Saccharomyces cerevisiae S288C: one gene and its partners. Changing the gene in region 1 together with any one later gene gives a genetic interaction. Each region holds a gene or a part of one and is shown in the gene's direction. Other genes may lie near its edges.

Region 1 (3,359 bases):
ACTTTTATTAAAGGTGTGTCCCAATACCTGAATAAATTCAAATACGGTAATGCAAAGACCGGAGATTTGTGGGACGCCTTAGCAGATGCCTCTGGCAAGGACGTTTGTTCGGTGATGAACATCTGGACAAAACGTGTTGGTTTTCCAGTGTTATCTGTCAAGGAACACAAGAACAAAATCACATTAACTCAACACCGTTATTTAAGTACCGGTGATGTTAAAGAAGAGGAAGATACAACCATATACCCCATTTTGTTAGCTTTGAAAGACAGTACAGGTATCGATAACACATTGGTATTGAACGAAAAATCTGCTACTTTCGAATTAAAGAATGAAGAGTTCTTCAAGATTAATGGTGACCAATCTGGTATTTTCATTACCTCTTATTCTGACGAAAGATGGGCTAAGCTATCCAAACAGGCAAATTTATTATCCGTAGAGGATCGTGTTGGCTTAGTCGCAGATGCAAAAGCCCTTTCTGCATCTGGCTATACCTCTACTACTAACTTCTTGAATTTAATTTCTAATTGGAAAAACGAGGATTCATTTGTTGTTTGGGAACAAATCATTAATAGTTTATCCGCTCTGAAATCTACTTGGGTCTTCGAACCAGAGGATATATTGAATGCTCTAGATAAATTTACTTTGGATCTAGTACTTAACAAACTTTCTGAATTGGGGTGGAATATTGGCGAAGACGACTCCTTTGCTATCCAACGTTTAAAAGTGACCCTTTTCAGTGCCGCATGCACTTCTGGCAATGAAAAAATGCAATCGATTGCGGTAGAAATGTTTGAGGAATACGCCAATGGGAACAAACAGGCCATACCTGCACTGTTCAAGGCAGTTGTTTTCAACACCGTTGCCAGACTTGGCGGAGAAAACAATTACGAAAAGATTTTCAACATCTATCAAAACCCTGTTTCGTCAGAAGAAAAGATTATCGCTTTGAGAGCTTTGGGCAGATTTGAAGACAAAGAACTTTTAGAAAGGACATTGTCTTATCTGCTAGATGGTACAGTTTTGAATCAAGATTTTTACATCCCAATGCAAGGCATTAGAGTTCATAAGAAGGGTATTGAAAGGTTATGGGCTTGGATGCAAGAACACTGGGACGAAATTGCTAAGAGATTACAGCCAGGCTCGCCTGTGTTGGGTGGCGTGTTGACATTGGGTTTAACTAATTTTACCTCTTTTGAAGCCCTTGAAAAAATTAGTGCGTTCTATAGTAGAAAGGTCACTAAAGGTTTTGATCAAACCCTGGCTCAAGCCTTAGACACTATTAGATCCAAGGCGCAATGGGTGAGCAGAGATCGTGAAATCGTTGCTACCTACTTGCGTGAGCATGAGTATGATCAATAGCTTTTTTTTTTCACGAGCACCTACAACACAAATATATACATATGCCAATGAGTCAAAACCACGTGTAATTAATAAAGAGATTACTACTTGCTTATGTAGAAATATAGTAGCTAGCAGAAAATGAATCTGATAACATCTTCATTGACACATTTCCAAGTATAGAGAACTTTCTTCTGCTTCCTTTCGGAAGAACTGAGTGAATATTGACTGGCGTGCGTCATAGCGAGATTTTTTCATCTGATGATGTATGGAAAAAAAAAAAAAACTTTTTTTTGAATAATGGATGCATCGAGTGACTTTCATTGTTGCGCACGTTGCTTTTCCAAAAATGGTATTAATATAGGTCTTTTATCTCTTACTTCACATTTAACTGCTTGTTAAATAACCCCAGTGTTTTCTTTTTTTTGGATGAATAAGGAAATCAACAGCTGGTACACGCATATACACATATACCATGACCATTGATCTAGCTTCTATCGAGAAATTCCTCTGTGAACTGGCTACTGAAAAAGTAGGACCAATCATCAAATCCAAGTCCGGCACTCAAAAGGATTATGACTTGAAGACTGGCTCCAGGAGCGTTGATATTGTAACTGCTATCGATAAACAGGTCGAAAAGTTAATTTGGGAATCGGTAAAAACCCAATATCCAACTTTCAAGTTTATTGGAGAGGAAAGTTATGTGAAAGGGGAGACCGTGATTACTGATGATCCTACCTTTATTATTGATCCAATTGATGGGACTACAAACTTTGTTCATGATTTCCCATTTAGCTGTACCTCTCTTGGGCTCACAGTAAACAAAGAGCCCGTAGTAGGCGTTATATATAATCCTCACATTAATCTTCTGGTATCCGCTTCTAAAGGAAATGGGATGAGAGTTAACAACAAGGACTATGACTATAAATCAAAATTGGAATCTATGGGTTCTCTAATACTAAATAAATCCGTAGTGGCATTACAGCCAGGTTCCGCTAGAGAGGGAAAGAATTTTCAGACAAAAATGGCCACATATGAAAAATTACTATCATGTGATTACGGTTTTGTTCATGGATTCAGAAATTTAGGATCATCTGCAATGACAATGGCATATATTGCTATGGGGTACCTTGATAGTTATTGGGATGGTGGTTGCTATTCGTGGGACGTGTGTGCTGGATGGTGTATTTTGAAAGAAGTGGGCGGTCGTGTAGTAGGTGCCAATCCAGGTGAATGGAGTATTGATGTCGACAATAGGACATATTTGGCTGTGAGGGGAACAATTAATAACGAAAGTGACGAACAAACAAAATATATCACAGACTTTTGGAACTGTGTTGATGGCCATTTGAAATATGACTGATCGTCAGCACATTAGGCCTAATATAAAATGTACGATTAAAATGACAGTTATTTGAATCATTTTAGCTGATCACAGGGATATAGAAGGTATTGGTAGTAATAATAATAATGATAATAATAATAATGATAATAATAAATAATAAATAATAAAGCGATAGATAATGCTCATTGATTATAGATGTATAAGCAACCGTCTTGGCCAAATAGTCCAAAAACGCCAACTAGAGGCATCCATCCTTCACCTCCTCCAAACCTTTCAGCTAAATGCAAAGCTTTCTCTAAACGATCGGACTCTACTGGTTTACCTATGCTAAAACCACGAATACATAACATACCCTGCTTCTTCTCTATGTTCAAATGAGGGTTTGTTTCCGTTTCTACCATTTTTCCTTCTAATGTTGTACTTAGTGTTCCATAACATACAACGTTATCGTCCACAGATTTTCCAAAAACCCTATAGTCATAAAAATTGGTATGTGCCACAGGTCCCATGATAGCGTAGGGACAATATAACTCGAGGACTACACGGGATCCTAATTGAGCTCTTATTTTATTCAATTGTTCAGTGCTTGGGGTGATTCTTCGGTTAGTCTTTTTTAGCTGAGGAATTTTTTCAGGAAATGTCGAAATAACCTCAGCATCTTTCACATTATCTG
Region 2 (3,760 bases), on another chromosome or scaffold:
TTGGATGTACATTGGGTTTTGCATTTGATTCATGGGAGGTACGCCATATGGAAGTGGCGGTTGACTTTGGGTCATTGGCATGAACGACTGCTGTGTTGGCGGCGACATATTGTTGTATGCGGGAGGTAAGCTACCATATGGAACAGTGTTGGAGAATTGGGCCGGTGTCGCCTGCCCAAATGGTGGAGGTGGATACTGGAAGTTAGTCGGCTGAGGGAAAGGTGAGTATGGTGGATAAGGCATACCGTTTGGTTGTTGAGGGAAGGGATAATTATTTGCAGAAAACTGTTGTTGGTGGTGCTGTGTGATTGGCACTGGGGAGGAGCCATTCCGATTAGAGGTAGCACTGGATTCACGCTTGATATTTTCACGTGCGTTTCTTGATTTGTACCCATGTTGCATCGGAGCATTACTGCTCATGCCCAACGGCGGTACCAGTTTAGGTAAACTGTTGGCCTTGGGCTGCCGAGCTCTCTTTACCTTGACATTGTCACTATCGTTGGCTAGTTTGCGGTTGTCCCTTTTCTTTCGTTGCCGTTGCTGTTTCTTCATTTTCTTGAAAAGGGCCTCTTTTTCGTCGTCGGAAAATTCTTGTTCCTCTTCAGGTAATTCTTCATCGTACCCATTAGACGCATCAGTACCTTTGTTGCGCTTTAACTCGAAAGTATCTATCCAGTGGGCATCAGGGGTGACTATAAAGGCTTTCTCACCCAAACGCACTTTTAATTCATCGAATAAGTTTTTTTTTGAATCGGGCAACTTAATTCTATAAAATGGGTTTTGCAAGGGTCCAAACACCTCCGTCAACATCCCGATCAAAGTTCTATCCTCGAGACAGAAAATGGAACCCTCTTTTAAAACACGCTTTTCGCCCGACATCGTGGCGTGAATGATTATATTATTTTCAAATGCAGACTTCAAAACACCAATAGGAGTGATGATCGTTTTTTCTGAAATTTCATAATCTTCCGGTAGTTCAGGAACAGTTTCCTCTAGTATTTCGTTCTTCGATAGTATAGGACCGGAAGGTGAAGGGTCTTCGTCTTCGTCTTCATTTTCAATCGCGTCACCACCTTCGTCCTCTCCTTCAACGTCCTGATCTGCAGAATCATCCTCACTACCTGAAGAGCCAGAATCAGAATCAGAATCAGAACCGGAATCTGATTCGGATTCAGAAGAGCCGGATCCTAGGCCTGTTGATCTTTCTGCGTCTGCTACCGGTTCATCGGTCTTCCTCTCGTTCCCACCATCACCTAAAAGACCTAAATCAACATCATCCTTGGGCAATTCCACGTTCAAGTCCTGGTCGGGATTCTCCAAAGCCTTAGAAAACAAGTCATCGCTCATGATTAGCACTGTTTCGACGTGCTATATTGTGCTTCTTCCACTTTCATACCGCTTCATCCTACCTATCATCCTACCATCTTTTTCCTTTACCTTTAAGCTCATCGCCTGAAAAATTTCATGGCCGCAAAAAGAAACGCGCAGACCGTTACCCGAGTGGTAGTGCCTGACTCATTTATGTGCCAACTAAGCATTGCTCGAGAACAAACTAGTGAAAATGTAAACCAGGGAATTTATCATTTGGTCAAAGACCCTGACGAACTAAAACTGTCAAAGGCTGATAACGCAGTAAGAACAGACGGAGGCCTTATACCGCATCTTTGCAGACCACAGTTTCCTATATCTAGTTACAATAGCGCTTGCCGACGATAACCGAGATAACGTATCTTTGCCGCGGGCTATCTCGGCAATCTGCAAAAAAAAAAAACCCCCGCCGCTATTGAAGAAAAGTCTTCGGGAGAACCTGGATAAATACTTGGCATTCCTTAGATCTTGATGCTTTGTCCACTCATATCGGAGCCAAAACTAGACTGTTTCTTCTATATTCTACCAAAGCTGCTAGACTTAGACAAATTTTCTTTTGTTAGTTAAATGTGCGAGTCAGAATAGTATTTTGCATTTGTCACACCACATATTTAAAAGTTTTATCTTTTTCTTTTGTTTTCTCCACTTTTCTTTACTTTTTCTTTAGGTATAATTACGGGGCTTCTGAAAATAAATCTGAAAAATGTCAACGCACTCAAACGACTACTTTTCTGCTTCTTCCGGAATGGTCTCTGAGACATCGTCCGAGGTTTCTTCGATAAACTCTTCACAGCCTGTATCATTCTCTAAGGCTTCTATTGCTGCTCCGGTTCCATGCTCTGATCTACACAGCACCAAGTCGAACGATGCATCGAGAAAATTGTCTATTAGTAGGACGTTAACTAATCGGCTCAACGACATTAAAAAGGCTGTCGATGACGACAACTTGCAGACGGAAGAAAATTCCGCAGACGTTAATAAAATATTAGAATCTAGATTTGACGTGGCCGATGCCATTAGGCTACAGCACAATGAGTCAGTCCAGTCAAAGTTAAACATCCCAGTCACACACACCACGACTGCAGGCGCCTCGTTGTCGGCACCATCTTCCTCTGCTTTCTCTGCTTCTTCTATTCAAAATGATACTACAGAACATAAAGCTTCCATGGACTCCAAACTCATGAGGAATAGACTATATCCGGCTTCCACGAAACACTCCGGTAAGGATCTTGAGGCCCAAGGAATAACCGAATTCGAGCCTGATGAACCGACTGTAAAAAAAGTATTCACCAACAAGTCTACCGGGCAGCTGGAACTGCCCCCCGACGGTGGTTATGGCTGGGTCGTGACATTCTGTGTGTTCTTGACCATGTTTTCCACGTGGGGCTGCAACGCATCCTTCGGTGTCGACCTTGCCTACTACTTAAACCATGATACTTACCCTGGTGCTTCGAAGTACGATTATGCCTTAATTGCTGGCCTAACTGTCTTTCTCGGTCAACTCTTATCCCCCCTTGTGATGGCACTGATGAGAATAATTGGTCTGCGGACCACCATGCTTTTTGGTGATGCTGTAATGCTTGCCGCATATCTCTTGGCCTCCTTTACTACCAAGTTATGGCAATTGTATGTCACCCAAGGTTTTATGGTCGGTTGTTCAATATCACTGATTTTCGTTCCAGCAACAACCGTCTTACCAGGATGGTTCTTGAAAAAAAGAGCTGTCGCAATGGGTGTCTCATTATTGGGTACCGGTGCTGGTGGTGTCGTTTACGGTTTGGCTACAAACAAAATGCTTTCTGACTTTGGAAATACCCGGTGGTGCCTTCGTATCATAGGCATATCGTGTAGCATAAGTGTTCTAGTTGCTATTGCGCTCTTAAAAGAAAGAAACCCTACACCTGCCATAGGATTGAAATCGCCTCGGGCCATGTTTGAACAGCTCAAAGCAATGTTTTCATTAAAGGTTATAACTAAGCCATTTGTGGTACTTATTGCATTATGGTTCATGTTCGCATTATTTGCCTACAATATGATGGTTTTTACTTTATCTTCATACGCAATCTCGAAAGGATTATCATCGCACGACGCTTCCACATTGACTGCCATTTTGAACGGCTCGCAATCCATCGGAAGACCTCTGATGGGTTTAGCGGGAGATAAGTTTGGTAGGGCAAACGTAACGATCGTATTAACCACTTTGTTAACAATATATATGTTTGCGTTCTGGATCCCCGCTCATACGTTTGTTCAACTCATCTTTTTTTCAATTCTAGTTGGCTCATGCGTTGGTGTCGCCAACGTCATGAATACCGTTCTGATTGCCGATATGGTTAAACCAGAAGAGTTTTTGCCCGCTTGGGCCTTCGTCAACTACTGTGGTGCGCCTTTC
Region 3 (3,442 bases), on another chromosome or scaffold:
AATAACAAGAAGTGTTCTTCTGATTGTCGGAGATGCCTCTAATGCCAATGCACAGGCTTCCATAAAGTTTTCAAGCATGACAGAAAGCTAACTTGTCTTTTACTTCTTTGTTGGGCACACTTCTCATTTTTAAAAAAAAGATTTCCACCTTCACGATCATATCTGAAATGAACTGAATATTTTGTTCTTGTGAGAATAAACTTGTCTACTAATCGCAAATTTTTCAAGATTAACCTTCCGCACCCATTGAGGTACTAAACTGATCTACCCTACCTTTCCTAAATACCTAATGTCAGGTACATAATGCCAGCGACAGCTCAAAATCACGGGATACTAATTATTAAATAGTAGTAGCTTCTTCTCCACGCACAGTTCGATCGAAGGAGCTAATATTCGGCTTGTCATCTTCCATGGCCAGTAATTTTTTTTATTGTCATTTGGGACTAATGAGATGGAAACTAGAATTGTAGTTATACATCCTGAGGTTTCTATCAACTTGTGTGTCACAACGTTTTATATACTTGAATGCGTAGTAGCAAACCCCGGCAAGACGTAAGTTAACTTGTCAAAGGTACAAGCTTGGTTACAAACAATGTGATATTTCGCTCCAGGATATTTTTGCTTTTGGTGACGCCGGTTGGTTGAAGAGCCCCCATTTATCATGACTCCTACCGCAGTTTTCGTATATCTTGGGCCATAAATTCGAAAATTAAAGACACCACTTAATAACGCAACAAAAAGAACGCAATCCTCAGAAAGAACACACACCAAAAAAAAAAAATGCCTGTTTATGAACACTTATTGCCCGTTAATGGAGCATGGAGACAAGACGTCACCAATTGGCTGAGCGAGGACGTTCCTTCTTTTGATTTTGGTGGATATGTTGTTGGTTCCGACCTAAAGGAGGCCAATTTGTACTGTAAGCAGGATGGTATGCTGTGTGGTGTCCCCTTTGCGCAAGAAGTCTTTAATCAGTGCGAATTGCAAGTTGAGTGGTTGTTTAAGGAAGGCTCCTTCTTGGAGCCTTCGAAGAATGACTCTGGTAAGATTGTTGTAGCTAAAATTACTGGGCCCGCTAAAAACATTCTATTAGCTGAAAGAACCGCCTTGAACATCCTTAGTAGAAGTAGTGGAATTGCCACCGCCTCACATAAGATAATCAGTTTGGCGCGTTCGACTGGTTACAAGGGGACCATTGCGGGGACAAGAAAGACTACACCAGGTTTACGTAGATTAGAAAAGTATTCCATGCTTGTAGGTGGCTGCGACACGCACAGATACGACCTTTCCTCTATGGTCATGCTCAAAGATAATCATATTTGGGCTACTGGTTCTATAACAAACGCAGTTAAGAACGCCAGGGCCGTGTGCGGGTTTGCTGTGAAGATCGAAGTGGAGTGTTTGAGTGAAGATGAAGCCACAGAGGCCATTGAAGCTGGTGCAGACGTTATCATGTTGGATAATTTCAAAGGTGACGGTTTGAAAATGTGCGCCCAAAGTCTTAAGAACAAATGGAATGGTAAAAAGCATTTCCTCTTGGAATGTAGTGGAGGCTTGAATTTGGACAACCTCGAGGAGTATTTGTGCGATGACATTGACATTTACAGCACTAGTAGCATTCATCAAGGCACACCAGTGATTGATTTCTCATTGAAACTGGCTCATTGAAAATGCTTAGGCTTCGATTTTTACTTTTTTTTATTTACATATTCTAAATAAGATTAAGAAGCTACGCGTTACCGATTAATGACACACACGACGATTAGTAACGAAATAAGAAATGAATAATGAGCACTCCCAGGAAGGCCGCCGGTAACAACGAGAATACAGAAGTCTCAGAGATCAGAACCCCCTTTCGGGAGAGAGCCCTTGAAGAACAACGTCTCAAGGATGAGGTACTGATCAGAAATACGCCAGGTTATAGAAAACTTTTATCTGCTTCTACTAAGTCTCATGACATCCTCAATAAAGATCCGAACGAAGTACGAAGTTTTTTACAAGACTTAAGCCAAGTGTTAGCACGCAAATCACAAGGCAACGATACAACTACTAATAAAACTCAAGCACGGAATCTAATAGATGAATTAGCGTACGAAGAGAGCCAACCAGAGGAGAATGAGCTTCTTCGGAGCAGAAGTGAGAAACTGACAGATAACAACATTGGCAATGAAACGCAACCTGATTATACTTCCTTATCGCAAACAGTATTTGCAAAATTGCAGGAAAGAGACAAAGGCTTGAAAAGTAGGAAGATTGACCCGATAATAATACAAGATGTTCCCACGACAGGACACGAGGATGAATTGACAGTGCACTCTCCAGATAAAGCTAACAGTATCTCTATGGAAGTTTTGCGCACGTCGCCAAGCATTGGAATGGATCAGGTAGATGAACCGCCAGTACGTGATCCGGTACCAATTTCCATAACGCAACAGGAAGAACCACTATCTGAAGATTTACCAAGCGACGATAAAGAGGAGACAGAAGAAGCAGAAAACGAAGATTATTCGTTTGAAAACACCAGTGACGAAAATTTGGATGATATAGGCAACGATCCTATCCGTTTAAATGTCCCTGCGGTGAGACGTTCTTCTATAAAACCGCTGCAAATAATGGATCTAAAACATCTTACAAGGCAATTTTTGAATGAGAATAGGATAATATTGCCGAAACAAACGTGGTCTACTATACAGGAGGAATCTTTAAATATAATGGATTTCTTGAAACAAAAAATCGGCACGTTACAAAAACAGGAATTGGTAGATTCGTTTATCGATATGGGTATTATCAATAACGTTGATGATATGTTTGAGCTCGCGCACGAATTGCTTCCCTTAGAACTTCAATCAAGAATTGAAAGTTATTTGTTCTAAAAAAGATACCGTAGAGAAAATAATTAAATAGTGGCAATTTATGTACAGAAAAGAGTAAAAGATCCACAAAATTATCAAGACCTGGAAGAGAAGCCTAGTAACAAACTAACCTGTTCATAAACAGTGAACGTTAAGCCTCCTGAAATACCGACTTTCATAAACCTAAAGATGGAGCCCTTCCAGAATGTGGCCATGCCTTCTTGAACAAATATTCTATACATGCAATTTAAGGTATTTTTATATTCAGTTTTGGCATTTTGACTCATCATCCTTGTTTTTACGACGTCAATGGGCTGAGTCATTGCCACGAGTGTAAAAGATGTGGCTAACCCCGTTATTACTGAGGATGCCTTGTCGTTTCTTGCTTGTAACAACCGTTTAAATGCTGTGTATGCAGTAAATTGAATAGAGGTGTTAGCTATCTGCCTAAATATGGTGGCTGTTGTTCCCTGGACGAACGCAGCAGGGCCTCTTGTTTGATACATGTGTTTTACCGCTGGAAGTAGTTTCTCGATACGAGCCACAGGAGTAGATTTAGTCGCCACCTTGTGAAAGGTTGCCTTTGCGTT

The links.
Region 2: mutations in INM1 (region 1) and ESBP6 together harm fitness less than expected from each alone (positive genetic interaction), as found in Saccharomyces cerevisiae (one large-scale study listed by BioGRID).
Region 3: mutations in INM1 (region 1) and CNN1 together harm fitness less than expected from each alone (positive genetic interaction), as found in Saccharomyces cerevisiae (one large-scale study listed by BioGRID).

Annotation. Positions count from the first base shown.
Region 1 is NC_001140.6:196,743-200,101, reverse strand, and holds INM1 (inositol monophosphate 1-phosphatase INM1), read left to right. Parts: upstream 1-1,816; coding exon 1,817-2,704; downstream 2,705-3,359. Other genes in the region: AAP1 (arginine/alanine aminopeptidase), read left to right, coding at 1-1,362; DDE1 (Dde1p), read right to left, coding at 2,869-3,359. UniProt on the Saccharomyces cerevisiae protein: Responsible for the provision of inositol required for synthesis of phosphatidylinositol and polyphosphoinositides.
Region 2 is NC_001146.8:390,479-394,238, reverse strand, and holds the start of ESBP6 (Esbp6p), read left to right. Parts: upstream 1-2,071; coding exon 2,072-3,760. Other genes in the region: NAF1 (RNA-binding snoRNP assembly protein), read right to left, coding at 1-1,347.
Region 3 is NC_001138.5:242,505-245,946, reverse strand, and holds CNN1 (centromere-binding protein CNN1), read left to right. Parts: upstream 1-1,787; coding exon 1,788-2,873; downstream 2,874-3,442. Other genes in the region: BNA6 (nicotinate-nucleotide diphosphorylase (carboxylating)), read left to right, coding at 781-1,668; MRX20 (Mrx20p), read right to left, coding at 2,948-3,442. UniProt on the Saccharomyces cerevisiae protein: Component of the kinetochore, a multiprotein complex that assembles on centromeric DNA and attaches chromosomes to spindle microtubules, mediating chromosome segregation and sister chromatid segregation during meiosis and mitosis.